Linked DNA regions of Cricetulus griseus. The protein of the gene in region 1 interacts with the protein of each later gene in a pairwise test. Links are inferred from orthologs where the notes say so. Each region holds a gene or a part of one and is shown in the gene's direction. Other genes may lie near its edges.

Region 1 (5,258 bases):
CAGGTATAGGGTATAGGGCTGACTGGAATTAACCAGGGAGGTAGACATACGAGATGAGTCTGGGGACATAGGTGAGGTTACATTTTATGGTTTTGAAGACTCTGGTAAATGCAAATTTGGGCCTGATTCCAAGACCTTTCTTTTGGCTAGAGCAGTCAGTTTCCCAACATGACAAACACACAGGGAGAGAGGATCAGCACTTGGTATATGTTCTCCGGGGTTTTTCAGAAACAGGGAGTTGGGGATTGGAGATAAGGCTGAGGTTCCAGCCCTCATGTCAGTAGCACACAATTACTTTTAAATACAGCTCCAGGGATCCGAAGCTCCTGTCTAGCCTCTTAGGACACCTGTACACATGTAGTAGACATACACACTTGAGTTTGTTTTTAAATAAAAATAAAGAAAACATGGAATTGTTTCTTTGCCATTGATTGGATTGAATCTGGGTTTTGTGGGTAGCCTACTAATGTTACTATGGCAAATTTAGAGGAATTAATCTACAGCATCACTCATTATGCTGTTGGCCTTGAAAATGAGCAAGTTAAGGGCAAGATTCTTGCTAAGAGGGTTAATGCTCGTAGAGGGAACATTATGCACTCTTAAGAGCTGGGGCAGCTTCCTGGGACCAGTGAAAGAAATCTGTGAGCCAAAAAAAGGAAGCCAAAGAGAAAGGCACCGGGGTTGAATCTCCTGCCTGCTCCACTCAGAGAAGACATTGTGAGAACCAACGGGTGAAGCCAAGAAGCCAGTACACCTGTGACTTCATGGCTTAATGTACAAAAAACATGTAGAATTTAATCTGAGTGTGGTGGAAAGTCCGAGAGTTTTGAACAGACAGTAACATGATCTGAATTTTTTGTGTATATGTGTGCATGTGTTAAGTGCCTGCCCATGTGTGCACATGTGGATATTAGAGGTTGCTGTCTGGTGTGTTAGTTGCATTCCACCTTGTCTTTTGAGACAGGGCTTCTCACTGTTGTTAAGCTGACTGATTTGCTAGACTGGCTGGCCAGGGACCCCCTAGAATCTTGTTGGAATTACAAGTACATTCCTCCATACCAGGCTTTTTCCATGGGTGCTAGAGATCCGAACTCAGATACCAGTGCTTGCATAGCAAGTGTTTTACCCACTGAGCCATCTTCTCAGCCCTTGGTTGGTTTCTTAAAAAGCATTACTAACTTCTATGTGAAGAATACATTTAAGAGAGGAGACCAATCCAGAGGTATCTGCAGTGGTTTAGGTGAGAAATAATACTGTAATAAGGAAAGGGCTGAATTTGAAATGGGTTCTTAAGAGTTGGTAGGACTTAAATATAGGGAACTAATTATTCTTTGTTTTCTCTTTCAGTCAATAAAAGAATTACAATCAGAAGACTATCTTCAGATTATTTCAGAGGAGGAAGCATTGAAGATAAAGGAGAATGACAAATCACTTTATATCTGTGACAAATTCAGTGGTGCTGTTTTTGATCACCTTAAACAGGTCTGCTGTCTCTAAGATGCTTATTTGGTAGAGGTTTTGCTTCTTCCTTTCTCTTTTTTATTTGTGTGTGTGTGTGTGTGTGTGTGTGTGTGTGTGTGTGTGTTGTATGTGTATGCATACTTGCTTGCTTGCTGGAAGTCACCTGGTCTCCTTGCTTCATGGATTTTCTACTGATCATGAGTACTATGAGTACATTGGGATTCTTCAGGTTTGGGGCTCTTAGACTTCTAGAAAATTGCTTTACTGGCTGGTGCTTTGTATGCAAAGCAAACTTGAATGTTTCTTAGTTGTTACAGCATTAGGTTATTAATGCATTAAGATCATATCATATTTTGGGTGGCTGGAGAGATGGCCTAGTGGTTAAGAGCACAGACTACTCTTTAAGGTACCTGAAGATTTGATTCTAAGCATCCATGTCAGGTGGCTCACAACTACTTGTAATGTCAGCTCCAGGGGAATCCACTACCTCTGCCCTCCAATTGTACTGGCACAAAATGTGCATATACCTACATACACACTATGTATAATTCAAGATAAAAAATAAATATTTATTATTTTATGGTTAAGCGTTTTTACCTTCGTGCATGTTGGTGCACCACTTGCATTCCTGATACCCTTGGAAGTCAGAAGAGGGCATTGGATCCTCTGAATTTGGAGCTTCAGGTGGTTATGAGCCAGTGTGGGTGCTGGGAATCAAACCCAGTTCCTCTTGAAAATCAGCCAGTGCTTTTAACTGCTGCACCATCTCTCCAGCCCTAAAATATAATCAAGAAAAAAAAAAAAAAAGATTAAGTTTTAGACTGACATTTTAGGCAGTACTGGTGCATACCTTTAATCTCAGCACTCGAGGCAGAGGCAGAGGCAGTTGGATCTCTATGAGCTCGAGAACAACCTGGTCAACAGAGCGAGTTCTAGGGCAGCCAGGGCTACATAGAGAAACCCTGTCTAGACCTCCCCCCCAAAAAAATTGACAGCAGTTATGAATGAAGGGCTCTTGTGGTTTTGCTTTTGAGTATGTGTTACTTTAATGCTCAGTGTGCCAGAGAAATTATGTGAGTCTTTATTCTTCTAACAGTTGGTGGCTTTCAGCAGTAGTCTCTCTCAGTTTCTGTGAGTAACTGGTAAATGTTCCACATTTAATTTTGTGATACTGGTGATCTTTTCCCTAACTTTTTATAGCTTGGCTGCAGAATTGTTGGTCCTCAAGTAGTCACGTTTTGTATGCACCACCAGCAGTGCGTCCCAAGAGCTGAGTATCCAGTTTACAATATGATTATGTCTGATATAACTATATCTTGTACAAGCCTGGATAAAGACAAAAGGGTAAGTACTGAAAGGAGCAGTGCTGGCTCCACACCTGATTTTCCCTGCGGTGGGATGTATCTTAAAGACCACATACATGGTTTTTATGACTTTCAGATTTCAGTGCATGGCTCCCAGTGGTATTTTCTTTTTAAAATTTTTTTTGAGATTATAATATAATTGCATTATTTCCTCACTTCCTCTCCTCCAAATTCTCCTGTATTCCACTCCTTGCTCTCTTTCAAATTGATGACCTCTGTGTTTCATTGTTGGTGTGTGTGTGTGTGTACACATGCATATGTATGTAATCCTAAATGTTATTTACATGCATATTTTTAGAACTGACCATTTGGTATTAGATAAACCAGTTGCTGTGCCCTTCCCTGGGGAAAGTGGAATATATTTCATAGAAAAGCTGGTTAAGTGAAGTGTTTTGTTTTGATTTAAAATAAAATTTACTGTTTGTTCTACATTCGGTATACTTGGTTTTGAAGCAGTTTTTCTAGCACAGAAAATCTTTAAAGAAAGGATTCTGAAGCTGGGTGTTGGTGGCACACGCCTTTAATCCCAGCACTTGGGAAGCAGAGGCAGGTTGATCTCTGTGAGTTCGAGGCTAGCCTGGTCTACAGAGTGAGTGCCAGGATAGGCTCCAAAGCTACACAGAGAAACCCTGTCTCGAAAAACAAAAACAAAGAAAGGATTCTGATTGGGTGTAGTGGCTCATGCCTTTAATCCTGACTTTTAGTGAGTTCCAGGTCAGCCAGGGCTATATAGTAAAACCCTGTCTCAAAAAAACAAAACAAAGAAAAAGAAAAGAAGAAGGGATAGCTAGGCATAGTGGCTCACATCTTTAATCCCAGGACTTGTGAGCCCGAGGCAAGAGGACTTCTTCAAGTTGAAGTTACCTGGGCTACATAGGTCAGCCTACTTCAGAAAACTGAGAGAAAGGGGCCGTACAAAGCATATTTTTGTATATTGCATAGAAGTGTGAATATAGCATGTAAAAATGTAATCAGAAGCAACATAGTTTTAAATTATGGAGGGTTGATTTTGGTTTTGGTTTTTGGAGACAGGGTTTCTCTGTAGCTTTGTAGACCAAGCTGTCCTCGAACTCACAGAGATCAACCTGCCTCTGCCTCCCGAGTGCTGGGATTAAAGGTGTGGGCCACCACTGCCCAGCTTTAAATTATGGAGTTTAAAAGAATAAACACAGTCATTTATTAATGATGATAATTCTGAAAATGTTTCTATAGGTGACTGTCATTGAGTGTTCTTAAACTTAAGGCTATGATGTTATTAGCAATATTAATCTACAAGACCACATTGCTATAAATGTTGATTGATTGAAGTATTGTTAATCAATATGACTGCTAAGAAAACAGTTACTTTTAGGTTTTTTTTTGGGGGGGGAAGGCTGTGGATTGAGTCCAGAGCCTTGTGCATGGTAGGCAAGCATTCTATTACTGAGCTACATCACCAGCCTACACATCTTTCCAAAAGTAATTTGGTTAGTTATTTAACTTTTTACTGGTAAAAACATTTGTATATTCAGGCTAGCAACAGTAAAAGACACTTATGGGGGGCTGGAGAGGCCGCTCTTCCAGAGGACCTGGGTCCTCTGTAACTTCAGTTCCCTCTGATTCCCTCTTCTGACCTCCAAGGGCACCAGACTTGCACATAGTGCATAGATACATATGCAGGCAAAACATTTCATATATGCAAATTTTAAAAAATTATGCGATGTTTTTAAATAGAAGAACTATTGTTTTCTTTCTCATTAATGTATTTTCTTTGGGTCCATAGGAAGAAGTCCATAAATATGTACAAATGATGGGTGGACGAGTATACAGAGACCTAAATGTATCAGTCACTCACCTTATTGCAGGGGAAGTTGGGAGCAAAAAATATCTAGTTGCTGCTAATCTGAAGAAACCTATTTTGCTTCCTTCTTGGATAAAAACACTTTGGGAGAAGTCACAAGAGAAGTAAGACATGTTTGTATGCTTTGTGTATTGGAGAAAATGATAGCATTTTCTTTTGGTTTATTACTAAGAGACAAAAATGGGGTCTTTGGTCATTTCTCTAGTGACAGTAGAAGAGCAGAGTCCGTAAGTGCTTACTGTCATAGGATGCGACTGTCAGGGAAGATAAGCTGTAGATTCAGCACTAGCTAGAGGGCAAATGCTTTGACAGTGAAATTGTTTTCTGCAGCAAATGCGTCTAAAATAATGAGGAAGTCAGTTTGACTGTGTTGCACTATGCAATACTGTGCTCCAGTGTTGAGGAGGCTAAGTGAACTGCTTTGGCATCCCTGTTCCCTCCTGTGGGGTGGAGGGAAGTAGAGATAAGATTGAATATACATATATAAGCCATTAGCTGAGATGTGATCACTCAGTGTAAACTGAACCTATTTTATGCACTGGCCTGGACATTAGAAGTATGTAGCCATCAGAACAGGACAAGAGTTTCCTTCA
Region 2 (5,258 bases), about 170 Mb from region 1:
GGAATGAGTATACTAGGCTTCAGAATAATAAATCTACTTGGTTCTTGTCTTAGGGTTTCTATTTCTGTGAAGAGACATCATGACCATGTCAAGTCTTACAAAGGAAACCATTTAATTAGGATGGCTCAGTCAGAGGTTCAGTCCATTATGGTCATGGTGGGAAGCAAGCCAGCAGAAGGAGCTAAGAATTCTTACAACTTGATTGCAGGCAACAGGAAGTGGTCTGAGATACTGGGCCTGACTTGAGCATATATGAGTCTTCAAAACTTGCCTCCACAATGATCCACTTCCTCCAACAAAGCCGTACCTACTCCAAAAAAGCCACAGCTCCTAATAGTGCCACTCTCTATGAGCTTATGGGGGCCAATTACATTCAAAATACCAAAGTTCTGCTGTATATTTTTAATCTGTGTTCAGTATAGTACAGTACAGTATAGATAATATATAAATGTTAGTTCACTAATATGTGAAAGAAGTAAGAGTATGCTATAGGCTGTGTAATAAGTAAAACTTAGATGATCTGACTGGCTTAGGAAAATGTTTCTGGAGAAAGTTAACTTAAACTGAAATCCAGATGATTCAGCTAGAGAAGGAGAGAGTCTGTATGTGTGCAGAGAAAACAACAGGTGTGAATTTTCTAAATTGGGGAAGTAGCACTTCAGAAAAAAATGGTTTATTTGAAATGGAGACAAAATAGAAATTGCCAGCACTTAACACATTTGCTTCCTATTTTATAGGTTGTTTCTGGACAAAAGCTGACACGACTTTTTACATCACATCAAATATTGCCAAGTGAATGTTTAAGTTGCCTTGTAGAACTTCTAGAAGATCCAAACATAAGTGCTTCACTGATCCTAAGTATTATCAGTTTGCTGTCTCAACTGGGTAATGTGTTCATACTTTCTCTTTTGGAACTTGGAAGACTATGGACTTAATTTTTTTTAAAGATTTTATTTTATGTACATGAGTACTCATCTGCATGTCTACCTGCATGACAAAAGAGGGCATCAGATCCTGATACAGATGGTTGTGGGCAACCATGTGTTTGTTTGCTGGGAATTGAATTCTGGATCTCTGGAATAGCAGCCTGTGCTCTTAACTACTGAGCCATCTCTCCAGCCCTGAACTTAATATTTTTAAAGGACAGATAGAGTTATAGAATTTCTTCAAGAATGATTTGCTTTCAAAAAATGTCTTCATTTAAGAACCTCTTAAGAGTTAGTCTTATGGTTCTCTCAAAAGAGTTCCTGAACATATCCATATATACAGAGTAGAGTAGTCTCTTGCCGTATAGGTGTGTTAAATATCTGATGTCTTGGGAGCTGAATCTAATTCTGATTAAACATAATTTAAATAATTACACATTGACTAGTAGCTGTCATATTAGATAACACAGTTAAGAGTAAAATGACATGAGTTGCTACTCATTATTCCAATCTTTATCATTTCTACCTATAGGGATACAATCTTAGTTAATGGTTTGATATGTGTTTTCTAATTTAAATTATATATTTTTAAAGAAGTTAAAATGATAATCTGACTGTATATTATGTAACCTGGATTGAGATGGAACTCAAAATTTTCTTGCCTCATCCTCCTAAATAAGGATTACAGGGATATACCCCCAACCTCAGCTGTTAGGGGTTTTCTTTTTCTTTGATATTAATTATATGTCAAAGAATTAGTGTACTTTGAAATTGGTGGTCATAAATTTAAAAAAGGAAAACAAAATCTGTCTTGGCCAGCCATGGTGGCTTAATTCTATAATCTCAGCATTTCTAAGGCTGAGACAGGAGAAACTGCTATGAGTCCCAGGCCAGTCTGGGTTACAGAGTGAAATCCTGATTCAAAAACTCAACTCAACAGTTATCTCAGGTTTTATCCTTTTTAAGGACAAGATTATATGACATAAAATTATTTCACTATTATGGAATGATTTCTGCATGTATAAGTGATATATCTTATGCCATTTTATTTTAACTTGTAGCTGTAGATACTGAAACCAGAGACTGTCTTCAGAGTATATACAATCTGAATAGTGTGCTGGCAGGAGTGGTTTGTCGAAGCAGCACTTGCCACAGTGACTCTGTGTTTTTACAGGTATATAGATCATCATAATATATTGCCACCTGTTCTCCTTTCTTTATTCTCAGACAAGACGTAGTAAGATGTAGCAGGCTTTCTTGGACCACCAGCCCCCAAATTGTGACATGGAGACTTATTATTAATTATCAGTGCTCGGCCTTAGCTTTAGGCTTATTTCTAGCTGTTTTTTTTTTTTTTTTTTTCCTTAAATTAACTCATTTCTATTATCTGTGTGTTGCCCTGAGGCTTCTTTACCTCATCCTCCTTTCCTGCTTCCTCCATGTCTGTCTGTCTGGCCCCTAAGCTGGCTACCTGGTAGGCTGCCACCTTGGCTGACTGGCTCCCCTTTCTCTCTGCCCATCAGCTCCACCTACACCTCCTCCACATAGCTGTTGGCCATTCACCTTTTTATTAGACCTATCAGGTTTCTTAGGCAGAAAAAGTAAAGATCAACACATCTTTACATACTTAAACAAATGCAGCATAAACAAAAGCAACACAACTTTACATAGTTAAACAGTTATTCTGAAACACAAATGCAACACATTTTTTACATAATTAAACAAATATTCTATTCCACAATAGTAAGACCTTTTATTTACTGCTAAGTAACAATTTATATGATGGCATGACATCGTCAGGCATAGTTCCTATTAGGAGCTAGTAACACATGCAGACTACATAAGTATTTCTCAAAAAGAGGACAGAGAGGACCAGATCTGTATTATCACTTTAACTTACAACACTGTAACTGAAGAATGCAGATATGTGCTTTTTGAAATGTGAACTATTCATATTAAAATTATAATTTGGGTTGGTATATAGTCTCAGCCTGCTGAAGAAACATCTTACAAAATTTAAAGCTATGGTTTAAATTTGTTTAGCACAATTTGAAAACTCCTGCACCCATCATTTTATTGAATCTAATATGTAATCAGCTGCAAGAAAGAAAAACATGACCAAATAAACTGGCATGCACTTCAGAGATAAAATGTAGAGGGAAGAAAATATCCTCAATTTAATTCAACCCCCACTAAAGTTTAATGTAAGAGAACAAAGCAGATGACTGGGCAGATTTGGTTACTACAGCTGCATCAAGTGTATTTATCTCATAGGTTTGGTGGTTCAAGGACATACTATCTATATGAACTGAGATCTGGCAAAGGATCTTCTGGCTATAATCATGGCAAATAGGAAGGGAGGGACATAATCATATCTTAGGTTCAACAGGAGAGATACTGCAACCAGGCTTGTTCCTTTTGTAACTCCCCTCTCAAGAAGTACCTACAGGATCACATGGGAAATACATCATACCTCCAGTGACCTAAGGACTTCCATTCAGGCCCTAACTTCTGGAGGTTCTGCCACCTCCCATCCACCTCCCTTAGTTTCTCCCATTCCCATCCTGAGAAACTAAGGCTTAAGTCATAGCACCCACCCTGACTGGACACAATTAGGTGCCATTAAAACCATAACAATGACAACCCGTGAGATAAAATATGTAAAAATGGATAAATTAAGACATGACTCCCAAGGTTTTTAGTAGTAGTCATTACTTAGGATATATATTTTAAAATAAACTTAAGAAATGGCATAGCTCTTGCTCTGGTGTTTGGTTCCTGAAATGATGTGTTCAAAATACTTGGCAATAGTCCATTTTTATGAGTAGGCAATATGTTTTCATGTGTATACTCACAATTATTTTCTTATTCTCAGTGCATTCAACTCCTGCAGAGGTTAACATATAATGTCAAATTTTTCCATTCTGGTGCCCATATAGATGACTTAATTACATTCCTAATTGGTCATATGTAAGTATGCAACAAAACAAGTAATTAGACAATTTACTGATTTATTTTTAAACTAAGCTGGTAGATCATTTCTTTTCCGTAATGTTTTCTAGCTTGAAAAACAACGGATTTATTTATTTATTTTTATGTGTATGTGTTGTGCCTGAATACATATTTGTGGTATACCATGTATGTGTAGGTGTCCATGGAGGACAAAAGAGGACTTTAGATTTTCTGGAGCTGTAGTAACGGAGTTATATGCTGTCCAGTATAGGTGCTGAGAACTGAGCCCCAGTCCTCTAAAAAAAGCCAGGAAGTGCCATTAAATCAGAGTCATCTTACCAGCTTTCTAGGTTTTTAAACTAAGATTACTGTCAGTTTCCTCCAGTTGGGTGATTTTAAGGCTGAGTATTATAAAATTTTCATAGTAATATTTAACAAACTGATTTAGAAATAAAAAAAGTGAACATAATAAAATACCATGCTCATTCTAAGACCATTTCTGTATTCTGTGGCACAGTTGAATAGGATAATTTAGTCTCAAGACATAAAAGAAATAGTATTACTCAGAATATGATAGTCTTGTTTTACATGTAAGAAAGTACTTAGGTCTATTAACTACTCTGCGATTAAGTAAACACCATGCTTTCTGTCTTTACAACAGTCAGTCTTCTGAAGATGAGTTAACAATGCCTTGTCTGGGATTATTGGCAAATCTTTGTCGGCACAATCTTTCTGTTCAAACACAAATAAAAACTTTGGTAAGTTGAGGGTTTGAGATATGTCTGTATATGTATATTTTATAGTAAGTTCTATTCCTAAATTCTTCCAAGTTCTTCTCTTTTTCTCTCTTTTTTTTTTTTATCATATCCAGTGCTGAGTAGACCTAGGATCTTGCACATGCCATTTGGGTACCTTTACCAAAAAAAGAAAATTTTCTCCTAGATTCTGTATATGTCAAATAGTCTTTTAATCTCTGCTTATCTGTGTTGTAAACTTTCCCTTTAAAAAGTAGCAATACTTTGGGGAGCCCCTTTTGAGGGCCTTACCCTGCCTGGGGAGTGGAGGGGGGATGGCTAGGGGCAGGTGGGATGTTGTGGGGGAGGGGAGGGAGAGGGAGAAGGGATTGACATGTGAAGCAAGCTTGTTCTTAATTTGAACTAATAAAAGAATAAAAAAAAAAAAAGAAATTACCATGTGTTGAAAAGTTCATAATAATGTTTAATAAGCTTGTCCTTATGTGGAGTTATATTTTTCAGACAAAATGTAGAGTTTTCTTTTTTTTTTTTTCTAATTCATTTTCTTTTCTCCTTCAGAGTAATGTTAAATCCTTTTATCGAACTCTTATAAGCTTCCTAGCACACAGCAGCTTGACTGTGGTTG

The links.
Region 2: the proteins of Topbp1 (region 1) and Cip2a interact in a two-hybrid assay, tested with the Homo sapiens proteins (2 studies listed by BioGRID). The link is inferred for Cricetulus griseus from reciprocal best matches to the Homo sapiens genes TOPBP1 and CIP2A.

The regions. Positions count from the first base shown.
Region 1 is NC_048597.1:211,546,282-211,551,539, forward strand, and holds part of Topbp1 (DNA topoisomerase 2-binding protein 1), read left to right. Parts: intron 1-1,347; coding exon 1,348-1,482; intron 1,483-2,661; coding exon 2,662-2,805; intron 2,806-4,587; coding exon 4,588-4,769; intron 4,770-5,258. UniProt on the Homo sapiens protein: Scaffold protein that acts as a key protein-protein adapter in DNA replication and DNA repair. Composed of multiple BRCT domains, which specifically recognize and bind phosphorylated proteins, bringing proteins together into functional combinations.
Region 2 is NC_048597.1:42,070,668-42,075,925, reverse strand, and holds part of Cip2a (protein CIP2A), read left to right. Parts: intron 1-737; coding exon 738-885; intron 886-1,987; coding exon 1,988-2,100; intron 2,101-3,801; coding exon 3,802-3,896; intron 3,897-4,539; coding exon 4,540-4,636; intron 4,637-5,191; coding exon 5,192-5,258.